Elephas maximus indicus: one gene and its partners. The protein of the gene in region 3 interacts with the protein of the main gene of each other region in a pairwise test. Links are inferred from orthologs where the notes say so. Each region holds a gene or a part of one and is shown on either strand. Other genes may lie near its edges. The genes, in order: NECAB2, MEAF6 and FXR2.

Evidence for each region.
Region 1: the proteins of FXR2 (region 3) and NECAB2 interact in a two-hybrid assay, tested with the Homo sapiens proteins (2 studies listed by BioGRID and IntAct). The link is inferred for Elephas maximus indicus from reciprocal best matches to the Homo sapiens genes FXR2 and NECAB2.
Region 2: the proteins of FXR2 (region 3) and MEAF6 interact in binary tests that used the Homo sapiens proteins (3 or more experiments, as listed by UniProt). The two-hybrid records come from large-scale screens. The link is inferred for Elephas maximus indicus from reciprocal best matches to the Homo sapiens genes FXR2 and MEAF6.

Annotation. Positions count from the first base shown.
Region 1 is NC_064839.1:49,958,840-49,964,384, reverse strand, and holds the start of NECAB2 (N-terminal EF-hand calcium-binding protein 2), read right to left. Parts: upstream 3,183-5,545; coding exon 2,964-3,182; intron 1-2,963. UniProt on the Homo sapiens protein: May act as a signaling scaffold protein that senses intracellular calcium.
Region 2 is NC_064821.1:79,102,125-79,107,669, forward strand, and holds the start of MEAF6 (chromatin modification-related protein MEAF6), read right to left. Parts: upstream 3,209-5,545; 5' UTR 3,147-3,208; coding exon 3,057-3,146; intron 1,805-3,056; coding exon 1,689-1,804; intron 1-1,688.
Region 3 is NC_064837.1:13,170,668-13,176,212, forward strand, and holds the start of FXR2 (RNA-binding protein FXR2), read left to right. Parts: upstream 1-2,009; 5' UTR 2,010-2,425; coding exon 2,426-2,506; intron 2,507-5,545. UniProt on the Homo sapiens protein: mRNA-binding protein that acts as a regulator of mRNAs translation and/or stability, and which is required for adult hippocampal neurogenesis. Specifically binds to AU-rich elements (AREs) in the 3'-UTR of target mRNAs.

The DNA of each region.
Region 1 (5,545 bases), on a different chromosome or scaffold from region 3:
TGGGGGTTGGGGGGGGGGAGGCGGACGAGTGATTTTCTGCGTGGGGAGTAGGTGGCACAGGTGCCAGGGGCTCAGAAACCAGGGCAGGCTGTTCTGGCTGCACCAGGCAGGGAAAAGGAGCAGCCCAATTCCCAAACCTGAGGGCTTCTGTGAGAAAAGCCTCTGCTCGGCTGGGGAAGACTGAATCTCTTTTTCATCGGCCTTTCCGGCGACATCCGCACCGAGGCAGAGCCCTGGCCCCATCCACCAAGGCCAGGGATGCCCATCCCTCCCACACGCGACCATCGACCATCGCCTGGTGGGCTTTGCAAGCCTCTGCACCCCCGCCCTGCCTCGCTGGTGGGACCCAGGTGTCTTGAGTTTTAAGGCTTCCTGGGTGTGGCCATTGTTGAAACCTGTGTGCTAGAGACCTGCTCCACCTGGAAATGAGTCAGGCCCGCAGCACTGGGTACCCCTGGAAGCCTGTTAGAAATGCAGAGTCTCAGGCCCACCTGGCCCCACTAAGTCAAAACCTACTTTTTATCCAAATCCTCAGGATCTTATTTGCACACTAATGTCTGAGTGCGACTGCAGGGAAGGGGCAGACCCTAACTTCCCAGATCTGGGAAAAAAATAGGGGCCTCAGGCAGGTTGCTGCCGATCCCTGAGCCTCAGTTTCCTCTGAGCTTAATCAGCTTGTTAGACTGGGTAGGTAAGTGGTGCTCAAGAGAGGCGGGGAGGAGGCTGGGGCCTCTGGCTGTCCCACCTCCCTCCTTGCCCTGGGGCACCAGCCAGCTGGCCCTGCCACCCTCCATCCCTGGAGCACTGTCCTTTATCATCACAGGGGCTGTACCAGGCTGAAGAAGCAGCTGGAGGGGGGGCTTACATGCGCCCTGCTGCCCCATGGGGGCTGGTCGCCCCTTCCCCTTACTGAACCCTGACACCTGGGGACCAGCAGGAATCACAGTGACTGAGGCTGAAGGGGGATCAGACGCCCCCAAACCCTCCTCCAGAATCAGCCTAGGCACCTCACACCCTTCCTCCCAACAGTGCGAGCCCCCAAGGATGGGGGTCCCAGGCCTCCCCTGGAGCCTGGCACTGGGCAGGCACCTGCTCTGGGCATGACTCGTCAAGTGAGTGACAGCCAGTGATGTCAGCTCCGGGAGTCTGCAAGGGCACTCTGGGAAGGCCCGCTCAGTCACCCCATTTCTCAAATGAGCAAACGGAGGAGGCTCAGAGCCCACCATCATCACCATCAGAGAACTGGAATCAGGAGGAGTATAGACAAAGCCCAGCGGCTCTGGGGGTCTGGGAAAAGAAGCTCCAGCTGTTGGAGTGTGTGTGTGTCTGGCTGTTTGAGTGTATGCTTGGGGCACCAGAGACAGAAGCACTCACAGTCCTGCTGTCCCTTCCCTGCCCAGCCCTCCTCGCCCAGACCTGGCTACAGGTTCCAGGAGAGACAGAGGGAAGAAAAAGGGGTGCACGCACACACACACTCCCAGAAACACAACCCACCTCTTCATACACTCAGAGGTACCCCCACCCCCCACCAGCCACGCACCTCACAGGGCCCTCACTGGGACACACAAGTTGGCATCCCCATGCTGTCACTGGAGGTGGGGGAGACCTCTGATGAAGCCCCTCCATTCCTCCAAGATGCTCCACAGGGGGAAGCTCCCCACCAGCAGGCATCCATCCTGAGGAATCCTCCCTCCCCCATGGGGGCAAGGGGGATGGGTTCCCAGACTGCATGGGAGAGGGAGTGAGGAATGAGTCTGGGGTTCCTGAAGTGCACAGGGCTCTCGTGAGGGAAGGGTACGTGAGGGAAGGGCACGAGTGGAGACAGGAATGGAGGGCAGCTGGGTGCTTGGAGTAGAGTGGCTGGTCGGGGAATGGAAGCCCTGGAGGGGTCCAGGCTCGGGTGGAAGTGGTTCTGCATCAACGGAAAAGAGAGGCTAGGTGGGGAGGGGCTTCACTTTCAAGGGGGTTGTGTTGGGGAAAAGGGTCTTTGATTAGGAATGACACAACTGGGCTGGGGGGCCCTGCGTCGGGAAGAAAGAGGGGCCAAGCTGGGGGTTGTGGGGGTCTCAGAAAAGTAGCTACTGGGATAGAAAGGAGACGGGTTGGGGGTGGCCGGGGCTCCTTTCCGGGAAGCGACAGGGTAAAAGGTGGAGTGTAGGTCTGGGAAAAGGATCGGGGATTGCCTAGGACAAAATTAGTGAGGTGGCCAGGTCCGGGAGGGAGGTTCAAGGGCCCCAGCTCTGCGAAGGTGGGGAAGCGGAGAAGTGGAGGGAGGGGGCAAGGAGGAAACCCCGCTCCAGGTAGGAGCGGACACAGGGTGAAGGGGACTCCTGTCCAGGGAGATGAGAGGACTCGGGGTGCAGACCAGTCAGGGACATGGGGAGGCTGGGGGGTTCACGCTGTGGGGAGCGGAGAGGCCGCGTGAGGGTCCTGCCTCGGTTTGCCGAGGGGAATGGATACGAGTTCCCTGCTCAGAGAAGAGGGGGCTCTGAGTCCTGGCGGGAACAGGGGGTCCGTGTCAGGGGCCATTCCTCGAGAGGAGGGGTCTCGGGGAACAAGGGGCTCCGTGTTGAGGTCCCTTTCCTGAGAGAACGAGGCGCAGAGTCCCAGCAGGCAGGGCGTCTCCCCCAAGAAGGGGGGCTCTAGGTCCGGCAGGAACCGGGAGTCCGTGTCGGCTCTCCTCCCTCGAGAGAAGGGACGCGGGGTCCTCGCAGGAACGGAGTTCCCCCAGAGAGGAGGGATACAGGGTCCCGGCAGGAACCGAGTTTCGTTTCGGGGTCCCCCGAGAGGAGGGCCACGGGGGTCCAGGCAGGAAAAGGGTTCCGTGTCGGGGTCCCCCTAGAGAGGAGGGGGCGCGGGGTCCCAGCAGGAACGGAGGTCCTTGTCTGGGTCCCCTCCGAGAGGGACGCGAGGTCCAGCCGGGACCCGCAGGGGCTCCGGCGGGTCGGGGCGCGCGTACTCACGTCCAGGATGACGGCGGTGCCCCCGCGCAGCGCGGCGGGGCCGGGCCGGGGGTCGGCGTCGGGGGTGGTGGGAGCGTCGGGGGCCAGCGGCGCCCGAGGCTCGCCCATCCTGGCGCCCACCCAGCGCAGCAGCCCGCCCAGCGCCCGGCCCTGCGGCGGCGGCTCCCGGAGCAGCCTGTGCGCGCCGGCCCTGCACAGGCGCGCCGCCCGCTCGCACATCGCTCCGCCACCGGAGCCCGCCGACCCCCGCCCGCCGCCCGCGCGACCCTCCCGGCGCCGCCCGCCGCCGGGCCCCGCCTCCCTTCTCGGTCCGCGGCCGCGGACACTCGGGACAGCCGGGCGGGGACGGGGGGGCCCGGACCCCGCGCCACGTGCCAGGTCCACCACCCCCACCCCGCCGGGCGCTGCGGCGGGGGCTGCCTGGGGGCGCGGGCCGGTTGGCTGGACCCCGGCAGGCCGGGGAGGGGGCTGCAGCGGAGGAGGCGCGGGGGTGTCTGGCTGCTGGAAGGGGGTCCCTGGGGGCTGCCCCCCCTCCGGAGCCCCCTTCCCATGAGCCCCTCCTCCCCCCGTGGCGCCGCCGCAGGGGCCGGAGCGCTGTGTCCGGCGAGCCCGCAGCGCCCTCTGCTGGTGCCGGCTCTAGGTTCAGCGTTCACACGCCTCAGGCCTCCCCCGCCCCATCACTTCCCTGGCACCCACCCTTGCCCTCCAAGGGATTGCACGCCCCCCAGACCTCCCTCTGCCATTACACAGGCCCAGAACCAATCTACGCCCCAGGACACCTTCCTCCTCTCCCACTCCCACTCATCCACCCACTCAAAGGATTCATTAAGAAACACCTGCCACACAGCAGAGACTCCCTGAGGGAGCAGGAGAACAGTGGGATGCAGACCTCAAATTCTCGCAAAAAGACCAGACTTAACGGTCTGACTGAGACTAGAGGGAACCCGGACGTCACGGTCCCCAGACCTTCCATTAGCCCAAGATAGGAACCATTCCCAAAACCAACTCTTCAGACAGGGATTGGACTGGACTGTAAGACAGAAAATGATCCTGGTGAGGAGTGAGCTTCTTGGCTCAAGGAGACACATGAGACTATGTGGGCAGCTCCTGTCTGGAAGGAAGGTGAGAAGGCAGAGGGGAACAGGAGTCAGCTCAATGGACACAGGAAATACAGAGTGGAGAGGAGTGTGCTGTCTCATTAGGGGGAGAGCACTACATAGCAAGGTGTATATATATTTTTGTATGAGAGACTGAGTTGATTTGTAAACTTTCACTTGAAGCACAATAAAAATTTTTAAAAAGAAAAAGAAATACCTGCCAGGTGCTAGGTCTCGTGCTAGGCACCAGGATCCAACCCCGGGGCACAACACCCCCCTGGTGCAGAGCCATACACTGGAATGATTCCACGAATAAATGAACAACTGAAACTGAGATGCTCTGAAGTGGTGGTGCCATGGGCCACGAGAACCACCAACAGGGGTTTGTGTCAGCAGAGGCTTCCTAGAGGAAGTGACCCTCATGCCAAGTGACTCAAAGGAAGAGAAGGAGTTAAAGAGAGGAGGAAAAAGTCATGGGCTAGAGACCAGCCTGTGCAAAGGCCCTGTGGCAGGCTTGGGCATGGTAGGCAGGAGGAACTGAGAGGACAGTGTGACGGGGAGAGGGGCAGGGAATGTAGGCAGGGGCTGCAAAGACCTCCACAGCACATCAGTCCTGGAACACACCCTCCCCCAAATCTTCTAACATGCTGCCCCCTCACCTGCTTGCACCTGACAATTGCCCCCCACCACACACACACTTGGGGCCCATGGAAGCAGCAGTCAAGAAATCAAATGACATATTGCATTGGGCAAATGTGCTGCAAAAGACCTCTTTAAAGTGTTAAAAAGCAAAGATGTCACTTTGAGGACTAAGCTGCACCTGACCCAAGCCATGGTATTTTCAGTTGCCTCATCTGCATATGAAAGCCGGACAATGAATAAAGAAAACCAAAGAAAAATTGACACCTTTGAGATACGATGTTGGCGAAGAATATTGAACATACCATAGACTGCCAGAAGAATGTATGATTCTGTCTTGGAAGAAGTACAGCCAGAATGCTCCTTGGAAAAGAGTATGGCAAGACTTCGTCTCACGTACTTTGGACATGTTATCAGAAGGGACCAGTCCCTGGAGAAGGACATCATGCTTGGTAAATTAGAGGGTCAGTGAAAAAGAGGAAGACCCTCAACAAGATGGATTGACACAGTGGCTGCAATGATGGGCTCAAGCATAATGAGGACTGTGGGAATGACACAGGACCGGGTGGTGTTTTGTTCTGACGTACATAGGGTCACTACAAGTCAGAACCGGCTCAATGGCGCCTAACAACCACTACATCTGTATTCTCCCCACCCCAGTCCACAGGCCTCTGGCTCAAAGCGCAGGGTCCCAGGTACCCAGCCACCTCCCCAAATAGAGTCTTTGGACACAGGGTAGAGTTAGGCGCTAGTTTTATTTGGGACCTGTCGGGGTGCTGGCCCCAGTAATCCCAGCTCACATGGGCACCTTTTCCCCTAGATTGCTAATGCAGATCTGCACTGGGC
Region 2 (5,545 bases), on a different chromosome or scaffold from region 3:
CAGCTATTCAAATCCACCAGCCTCTCCTTGGGAACCCTATGGGGACAGTTTTGCTCTGTCCCATAGGGTTGCTATGAGTCAGAATCGACTCGACAGCATCAGGTTTGGGTTTTTGTTTTGTTTTCCTTTCTTTTACCAAACACCAGAGGAGCCCTGGTGGCTCAGTGGTTAAAAGCTCGGCTGCTAACCAAAGAGGTCAGCAGTTCAAATCCAGCAGCTGCTCCCTGGAAACCCTACGGGGCAGCTCTACTCCGTCCTATAGGGTCACTATGAGTCGGAATCGACTCTACTGCAAGGGATTTGCCTTTTTTTTTTTTTAAACAAGAGGTACACAACATCACCTATATGCAGCATTTTTGCCAAGAATGTTTATGAGTTTCTCATGAGATCACAGTAACAAAAATCCTGAAGGTGGGGCATTCTACAAGACAATGTCATCAAACAAAAACCAAGGGTTAGAGACTCTCCTAAATTAAAACAGACTAAATAGACACAATGACCAAATGGAATGACTAAACACTGACTGGATTCAGGATCTAAACAAAGTAACAATGCATTCGGGGGATGATTGGAAATTTAAATAAAGACGGTGTATGACACTATTAACATAATGTTAATTTTCTAGGTGAGGTAATTGCAGCCAGGTAGGAGAAACAGTCTTAGTCTTAGGCAGTACATGCTGACATACTTATGGGCAAAATACCATGACATCTGTACTGAACTTTCAAATGGTTTAGGAAATAAACAGTGTACGGGGGAGGGAGTGGGTATGATGATAAAGAGGGAGTATGAGGGAGATCTCTGTGGTGATGGAATAGTTCTGTATCTTGATTGTGCTGGTGGTTACACGAATCTACAGAACTATACACACACATTATATCAATGTCAGTTTCTGGTCTTGATATTATAATGTAGCTGCATAAGATGTAACTGCTGGGGGAAACTGGGTGAAGGTACACCAGACCATCCTCTACCATCTTGAAACTTCCTGTGAATCTCCAATTATTTCAAAATAAAAAAAGTTGTTTTAAATTATGTATAGATATGTATTTCAAGCCCTGGTGGCACAGTGGTTAAGAGCTCGACTGCTAACCAAAAGGTCCGCAGTTCTAATCTACTAGCCACTCCTTAGAAACCCTATGGGGCAGTTCTACTCTGTCCTACAGGGTCACTATGAGTCAGAATCAGCTCAATGGGTTTGGCGTTTTGGTACTGGTATGTGTTTATATATGTTACAAAGAGAGAAAAAGCCAATGTGGCAACATGCTAGAATGTAGGTGGAGGGTAGCCAGTGCTTATGTACTATTCTGTCAACTTTTCTATAGATTTGAAAATTTTCGAAAAGTTGGGAAATTTTTAAATAATAATATTATTACATAAATAGTGGTACAGTGTGCACCCAGGTATGGCAAAAGCTGTGAAGGTGGAACTCATGACTGATTAAAACGTGGAAAACACTATTCCCCATGTTGTATTTCATTTACACTGCACACAACCCTGTGCCATAGGCTGGCTTTCTCTGTTTTACAGATGTAGAATCTGTCCAAGGTTACTCAGTGAGGCAGTGAGGCTGAGCCAGAGTTCAAGTCCTGATCTCCTGCCCACAAAGCTACTACCAAGAAACATATAGTCCTAAAAACAAATATTACTAGGGCACATTACAGAACACTACAGCTGCTGACACTCACTTCTGGTTGGTCAGATACCGATCCCAGCCACGAATAATATTGCCATACATCTGAGTGTCTTCCAGGTAGCTTCCTTCAAAAGCATAGATCTGTCTTTCCAAGTTTGCCAGTGTTTCCTGGTAGATGAAAAACAGGGAAATGGATAATGCCTTTTAAAAGCACGCATTAAGTCTGACCAAACCGAAATTTTGATATGAGACTTATAAACCTAAGCTCAACTACAGTAAAACACCCTTGTGGAGAGAAAGAGGATAATGGCAGGGGCAGATTGTTACGGTCTAAGGCAGTCTTGACCTTTTGGGGTAATGGACCACACTGAGAAGAGAATGGAATATACAGACTCTGTCCCCAGAAAAATGCATATACATGCTTAATTCTGCATATACATTAAAGGGTTCATGGAACCCCAGGTGTGAAAAACCCCCGCTGAAGCAGAACATGGGCAGTCTCCTCTCTCAGGCACAAAAGGTATCACCAGAGAGAAGGATGGCTGAAGAGCCTTCTAGCGCCAACGCCTCCCCTCCCCGCAGGCTCTGAAAGGCCGCCAGCCCACTAGGCTGCCAGGACTAGGCTGCCGGTTGCTATGGAAACCTGGAAGGGCAGCTGCAGGTGAGATGAGCCTCCCCCATGCCCAATCCAAAACGCGGGGAGGAGTGTCTTATCCACCAAGGCTCAGGGGACCCTGGATGAATATCACAACTCCCAATTCCCTAGCCGGAGTCTCCCCTCATCTGTCACCTTCCAAACGTTCCCAAACAAACCAAACCCTTGCCCATCAAAAATCCCATCCAACAGATCTACTCCTAGTCCCCAAAAGGTCACACCCCCTATCATCGTCCTAAGGCCAGACTGGGTGTCCTTCCCACATGTGCCTCGTACCCTATCCCCCTCAAAGCCCACGGACAAGCCCGAACCAACCACTCAACAGCCCACCGGCACGCCCGCCCCCCGCTCCTCAAACATCAAGGGGACGCCCGCCCCCCTCGCCCCTCCAAGGGCCACGGACACACCGCGTTCACCCCCAGAGCTCACCGACACTCGCCTTTTCTCGAGTCCCACGCACCCTCCCCCAGCCCCGGCCGCTTCCTTCTTCCACGCCCCCCTCCTTCCTCTTCCCCCTCCCCCTCCCCGGCTTCCGCGCCCCGCCCCCGGGCCCCGAGGCCCGGCCCCGGCGCCCAGCTCCGGACCCGCGCAACCGGGAAATGGAGCCGCCGCAGGCCGCGGAATGCGCAGCTGGGTCCCAGGTCCCGGGACTCGTCCCGCCGCGCTGCGTCCCCGGAGTAACGGCCTGGCGCGGCTGGCCTGGGACCCGGAGGCGGGGGCAGGCGCGAAGCCTCAACCTGGGCGCTCCCGGCCCTAGTCCCTCACCGCCAGCTCCTGCTTCCGCTTCACCAGCTCGGCCAGCTCCCGCCGGGTGTCCGGGATCTGCGGCGGCGCCGCCTTGTTGTGCATCGCCATGTTGGGCAGAGGCGGGCGGCGGCGGCGGCAGCGGCGGCGGCGGCGGCGGCGGCGGGAGGCTGGGGGCGGTCCCTGCGCGCCGCGGCCGGCCCGCGAGGGGGCGCCCGCCGCTGCACTGCGCCTGCGCGCGCGGCTTCCGGAGCCGCGCGCCACGGCGCCGGGTGCTCTGGCCCTGGGGTGCTCTGGCCCTTTGGCGCTCGCAAACCCAGCTTGGAAGGGTCCAGGGGTCCGGGCTTCTTCTGGTCGTTCTCCTAGCCGCAGCTCTACCCGTCAGTTGACAACTGGGGTTTAGAGATACCACAAGGTGACTACGTCCCAAGCCAAACTTAAGTCTGCTCCAGTGTTCCTCACCTTAGTGAATGATTTTCACTCTCCTTCCTGTTGCCAGAATTGGAAACCGGGGTATCATCCTTCCCTTTACCCCCTAATCTGATCCAAAAACCAAGCCCTGTGGACCCTGGAAGAGCTCCCAAATCCACTCACATGTCTATCGCCTCTGCTACCTCCCCATTTCATCCAGGCCCTCCCTATTTTTGACTACATTTTTCCAATAGCCTCCTTACTTCCACTCTTAGCTTCCTTCAATCCATTGTCCACAGTGAGGCCAGGGTGATCTTTCAAAATGGAATCCGATGTCATTCTTGTGGTTAAAATCTTTCAATGGCTGCCCTGTTACCCTTTTAGAGAAACAAGTATTATGTAGGGAGCACAAACTGGAGCCAGAACTACCTGGTTGAAAATCTTACCTGTCCACTCATAAGCTGTGCCACCTCTGGCAGGTAACTAAATTTCACTGTCTCAGCATCCTCATCTGTAAAATGGAGGTAGTAATAGAACATACATAATACAGTACACCACTCATCTGTCAGTGTGTCCTACTGTGGTGGCTTGCTTGTTGCCGTGATGCTGAAAGCTATGCCACTGATATTCAAATACCAGCAGGGTCACCCATGGTGGACAGGTTTCAGCACAGGTTCCAGACTAAGACAGACTAGAAAGAAGGACTTGGCAATCTACTTCTAAAAAAAAACTTTGCCAGTGAAAACCTTATGAATGGGCAAAACATTGTCTGATACAGTGCTGGAAGATGAGCCCCTCAGGTCAGAAGGTACTCAAAATACAACTGGGAAGGTTGCCTCCTCAAAGTAGAGTAAACCTTAATGACCTGGACAGAGTAAAGCTTTCCGGACTTTCATTTGGTGATGTGGCATGACTCAAAGAAGAAACAGCTGCAAACATCCATTAGTAATCGGAACATGAAATGTATGAAGTATGAATCCAGGAAAATTAAAAGTTGTCAGAAATGAAATGGAATGCTTGATGACAGATATCCTAGGGATTGGTGAGCTGAAATGGACTGGTATTGATTATTTGGAATCAGGCAGTCATATGCTCTGCTATGCCAGGAATGACAAATTGAAGCACAGCTTTGCATTCATAATAAAAAAAAAAATTCAAGATCTGTCCTAAAGTACAATGCTGTCAGTGATAGGATAATATCATATGCCTTCAAGAAAGACTAGTTAATATGACTATTACTCAAATTTACACACCAACCATTAATGCCAAAGATGAAAAAATTGAGAATTTTTTCCAACTTCAGCAGTCTGAAATTGATCAAACATACAATCAAGATGCATTGTTACTCATGATTGGAATGTCAAAGTTGGAAACAGAAGGATCAGTAGCTGGAAAATAGGATCTTGGTGATAGAAATGACGCTGGAGATTGCATGATAGAATTTTGCAAGACCAATGACCTATTCATTGGAAATACCTTTTTTCAATAACATAAACAGCAACTATACACCTGGACCTCGCTGTATGAAATACACAGGAATCAAGTCAGCAACATCTGTGGAAAGAGACAATGGGAAATCTCAATATTATCAGTCATAATGAGGACAGGGGCTGATTGCAGAACAGACCATCAATTGCTCATAAACGAGTTCAGTTGAAGCTGAAGAAAATTAAAACAGGTTCATGAAAGCCAAATCCAACCTTGAGGATATCCCACCCAAATTTATAGACCATATCAAGAATAAATTTGAAGCATTGAACACTAATGATCAAAGACCAGACGAATTTGGGATGACATAAAGGACACATGAAGAAAGCAAAAGGTCATTAGAAAGAAAAAATCAAAATGGATGTCAGAAGAGACTCTGAAACTTGCTGTTGAACATCGAGTAGCTAAAGCAAATGGAAGAAATGATGAAGTAAAAGAGCTGAAAAGATTTCTAAGTATTATAATAAAAATGCAAAGACCTGGAGTTAGAAAACCAAAAGGGAAGAACATGCTTGGCACTTCTCAAGCTGAAAGAACTGAAGGAAAAACTGAAGCCTCAAGTTGCTATATTGAAGGATTCTATGGGCAAAATACTGAACAAAACAGGAAGC
Region 3 (5,545 bases):
TGTTTCTGGAAAGATTTATGGCCTTGGAAACCCTATGGGGAAGTTCTACTCTGTCCTACAGGGTCACTATTGATAAGAATCAGTTTGAGGAGCCATAGTCTTTGTAACTCTCACCAAATTACTGGGTGAGGACAAATGAGGTGCTTGTGGCCCACCAAGGGGATTGGATAGCTTGCTAATAACTAAGTCAGGTGCATGGCACCCTTGTGGTGGGTGGGGCCATGCAAATAAGGTGTATGGAAACCTAACAAGGGGATTGGTCAGTTTTGCCAGGCTTAAAATGAGCCATCCCAGAGGTGGGAAGGAAGCATCTCACCACCACCAAGAAAGAAGAGCCAGGAGTAGAGTGTGTTCTTTGGACCTGGGACCGCTGCACTGAGAACCTCCTAGATCCAGGAGACAGAGATAGAGAGCTGTAACGGGAGCCCTGGTGGCACAGTGGTTAAAATGCTCAGCTGCTAAGGGAAAGGTCAGTGGTTTGAACCCACCAGCTGTTTTGCGGGAGAAAGATGTGGCAGTTTGCTTTGGTAAAGATCTACAGCCTTGGATATCCCTTGGGGCTCGCTATGAGTCAGAATTGACTCACTGGCAATTTTTTATCTTTTGTAATTTTTGCAGAAGCCGTTCGCCAGGCTGTTTCTTCCGTGGTACTGCTGGGTGGGCTTGAATCATCAACCTTTAGCTTAGTCTGAGCACAGACTGAACATCCAAAACCCAAAACCCGTTGCCATTGAGTCAATTCTGACAAATAGCAACCATAGGACAAAGTAGAACTGCCGGATAGGATTTCCAAGACTGTAATCTTCACTGAAGCAGACTGTCACATCTTTCTCCTGCAGAGCGGCTGATGGGTTTGAACCACTGCTCTTTTGGTTAGCAGTAGAAAGCTTAGCCACAGCACCACCTTAAACCAAACTTACCCACACCACCTGTTGCCGTCCAGTGGATTCCGACTCATAGTGACCCTATAGGACAGAGTAGAACTGCCCTATAGGGTCTCCAAGGAGCGGCTGGTGGATTCAAACCGCAGACCTCTTGGTTAGCAGCCGAGCTCTTAACCACTGTGCCACCAGGGCTCCAATACATTAAAAAAAAAAGGAAAAACCCGTTGCCATGGAGTCAATTCGGACCCATAGCGACCCTATAAGATAGAGTAGAACTGCCCAGTGGGGGCTAAATAAATGTTCACTAAATAATGAAGTGCACAACGCACGACTCTAATTTCTGTGCTCTTTAACTCACTTCTACCTAAATTTCTCACTTGTCTCAGCTCAAGAATCCGAAGTTTTCCTCATTCTACCCTTAAAAAAAAAAACCCTTACTCCCCGGCAATTCTTCCTATTTTGAATTTTCTCAGCATTTAGATATAAGATTTTGTGCCAATCTAAGTTCCATTTCCCAGTGTTGCCCTGAAATTATTCTGTAATCTTTCATTATATGCATGACCAGGATCTCCTTGTATTCTCAAGGCAAGAACCGTAACTCTTAAGTCTCCTATAGCACAAAGTTGTAGGAGCGTAAAAGAAATTCAAAACACGCTTGTGGACAGCGCACGCGCATCAGGCACTTTTTGGCATTCCGACCCATTTTTTTTTTTTTTTTTTTTTTCTTCCTTTGGAGCGTGCGCACCAAGAAAGACAAAAGGTGGGGAAAATGACCAAGCAGTCATTCAGGCGCATGCCCAACTCTAACATAGCCAAGCCAAGTGGGGCTCCTAGTGGTGAAGCGGCTGTGGTATGACCAGAACCAGCAGAAATCCAATCCGACTGAGTGAGCTTGGTCCCTCCCTTCCCATGATTGGCTAGCTCTCAGTGTTGTGGGGCGGGGAAAGGAAGAGATGGAGTGTGGAAGAGAGGGGGGCGGGGACAGTGAAGAACGCTTAACTCGTTCTGCGCAAGCGTAAGTCAGCGACCAGGAGGGGGCGTGAGAGAGTGAAAGGGAGTGTGGAAGTCCCGATGCGCTGGCGAGCGCGAGCGGGGTCGCCAGCCTTGACGCCTGCGCCGTGGCCCTCCCGGCCCCGCGCGCGGCGGGCGGGTGCCCGGTGCGCCTGCGCAGTAGGCGGCGGCGGCAGAGGGAGGTGGAGGCCGTGGAGCGGCAGCGGCAACAGCGGGTCCCGGGACTGAGGCGGCAGCGGGGGCGGCGGCGGGCGGAAGCTGAGGTGACGAAGGCAGCGGCGGCGGCGGCGGCGGCAGCCGTTTCCCTCACGGTGGCGGAGACCAAGGCGGCGGCGGCGGACGGGGAGCGGCCCGGCCCCGGCCCCCTGCTCGTTGGCTGTGGCAGGGCCGCCGTGGGGCCGGCCCGGCTCCCGCCCCCCGCGGCTCCCCCTCCGGCTCCTCCTCCGGGGAGACGCCGGGGGCCCGGCCCGGCCCGGACTCAGACCACTGCTGCAGCCGCCGCCGGGGCAGTCGGAGGCGGTGGCGGCGCCATGGGCGGCCTGGCCTCTGGGGGGGATGTGGAGCCGGGACTGCCCGTCGAGGTGCGTGGCTCCAACGGGGCCTTCTACAAGGTGAGGCGGCGCGCCGATCGGGGACACCTGCCTGTACCCCCTCCCCCAGCCAGAGCAGGGAAGAGCAGGGCGGGATCGAGCTCTGGAGCCGAGTCCTGACCCCTAGAACCTTAGACTCACGCTCCCACCCTCAGCTCTCAGGGGGAGACCTCTGGGAGTTAACCCTCTTCCTCTTGTTTTTGACCCTCTATCACACCCGCTTTTTATCTCATGTCAGAGAGAATGACTGTCAGGGCATTGTTGTGTCTGAATTTGTGTCTCTCTCCTCCCCCCAGAAAACAACTCCGTTTACCCAGCTTATTGACTTTTTCTGTTTCACAGTAGAAGACAGACCTTAGAATAGCATTTCTCCACAGCCTGAGCACATGTAGAATTCTCTTTCTTCTCCCTCCTTCCCCCATGGGAAGGCTGTCCCATATTAGATCGTTTCATCTTCCTCTGAGAGACCTCTGCCCACTGGCTCTGGGAAACCCAACCCATTTTCACCTTGTATTCCTGTTGCCAGCCTGAGGAGAAACGGTCAAAATTCATTTATGGTATTTGGCATCTTTGACCTCAGGAACTCTGGATTATTCCAATCCAGTTGCCCCCCAGCCATAAGGTGGCATCTTTTCCCAGGCCTCTCACCCCACCCATTTATCTTAGGGCCAGTTGGTCTACTCTTCTACCAGGAATTAACTTGCATTAGTTATTTCACTTTGACCTTACGTATGTTTAGATCATCCGTAGTTTTTCCATCTTCATGAACACTAAAAGGGTCCCTTCTGTTTATCCTCTTCTTAAAGATTTCCACTTTTAGAAGACTTTTGGCCAGCTCTCCTAATTTGAGAATCTGACAGCAGTCTTTTTGGGAAGGAGAAGGGGACTAGCTTTCAAAGACCCTTGCTTATTTCAGTCCACTCCCCCTCTTCCAGAGTTTGATTCCACAGAAGTTCTGAATTTTCAGTTTTTCCCATTTAGACTAAGCCAGAGGGAGACCCTTTTTGCTTCCCAAGAATTTTTCTTTGTGTAACCATTGTTATTCTGAACCTCTCTGGACCTTACGCCTGGGATTGTCTAGAGACTTCCCTGATTCCTGTCTGTATCTTTCATGTCGCCCTGAAGAGCTGGGAAGAGATATCTTCTCAGGACATCGCTTGTAGTGAAAAGAGCCTCTTTTGCTCCACTTTCCCTCAAATCTTTTCTCCCACAGTAGACATCTATACCTTCATGCCCTTGGAAATGACTTTCTCCAACTCCTCTGTGAAGTCATATCTCACTATAACTGGAAAGGGTCTCATATTTGCCCTTGGAGTGGATGGTTTCTGCCCCAACTTCAATTGATAGGTTCAGTGTACTCATTACGTCCCCACTCTAAATGCCTATCCATTTCTGCCTTACTCCCTTCACCAGATTTCTTTATATCCAGTAACTGTGGGTACCCCTATTTGTCTATCTTAACTTTCTCAATTCACTTTTTTGACTTTTATTGTAACATTTCTATACTCCTCCGTTATCCTCAGGAACCACCTTATTCCTAGCCAGCGGAAGGAAGCTCCAGCTGATCTCTTCTGTCATCTTTTTCTCCATACTTGCCTACTCTTGGGACATTTTCTTCAAGCCTGCCCCTGTAATAGCGTTTCTGTTTTCCTTGGCAGAAAGTCTCTCATTTCTGTCTGGTTCTGATAGAGCATACTTGCCTCTTATATTCTTTCCCCCGAATTCATATTACCGTTGCCGAAATACCCTTCCTCATTAGATGTTAGCCTCACTTCCCCTAGTCATTCATCTGGGTCCTTTCTGGGTTCCAAGAAAGGTGATTCTTAAATTGAGTCTGAGATGAAGCTGTGATGTCTGTTTCTGTTCTAGGAAGCGTGGGAGCCAAGCACAGCTGGGAAAGATTGAGTATCCAGTTCAAATTAACTGTATGACATTGTTGGAAAGGGAGATATTTCACTTTCCACATACAAGTGTTCAACAGAGAGTCTGTCTCTGGATCTTTCCCACTTCTTCTGTGGGCTATGGGAATGACAGGCTTTTTGAGTGAATTAGGGACAGGATACTTTGATTTAGAGAGTAGAATTTGGACTTGAGCTAGAAGTCAGGTGATGTGGCTACTTTAGCATTTGTTGCCCCAAGGCCTCAGTTAAAAACAATAAATCCCTAAATTCAGACTAATCTTTCCTCAGTTCTCAGTGCCATATAGATGCTTATCCATTTTGACCTTGCTACTGATTTAATATTCATGACTCAGCAAACTTTTGTGTGGGTCAGGGAGTATTTACACTTTTTCTAGAGCTATAAACTTAGGGAGGTCCGTTTTTCCTCTTTAAGAATTGGGTCCTACTGTTTTGATTCTCTTCTAAGAAAGATAGAGCCGCAAATGTCAGATCTAGGATCTAAGTTATCTTGTAGCTATCCCACCAACCCTTCCTGTTCTGTCAGAACTTAGTGTATTTTATTCTTAAAGTTGTACTCTTCCAAATAAGATACCTATTCACCTTCCAGGGCATAGCCATTCAACTTTCCAGATCTTGCCTTGATATCTTAATTCCTATTCTGTTTTTTTTCTCTAAAGTTTATTTTGTTGTTGAGTATATATGCAGTATAACATACACCAATTCAACAGTTTCTACATGTGTAGTTTAGTGACACTGATTACATTGTTCGAGTTGTGCAACCATTCTCACCCTCCTTCTCTGAGCCGTCCTTCCGCATTAACGGAAACTCACTGCCCCCTAAGGTTCCTATCCAGTCGCTGGAGTTGCTGTTGTCAGTCCAATCCCACGTAGATAGTTCTTAAAAGATCCTAATGCTCAAGGCAGACCTGTTTTTACTAGTTAAGCTAACTCCCATTCCTTTTTTAAAGAATATGGCATACTGAGCTTCAACACATGGTTTTTACCCAGACTCTCCCTGCTTTTCTCCTAGAACTTTCTTCTTTCTTTTTAAAAAATTTATTGTGGCAAAATATATATAATAAAACATTTGCCATTTCAACCATTTTTATATATGCACTTTCCCCTTCTTTTTTTTGAGACTGCAGGACTAGAACATAAG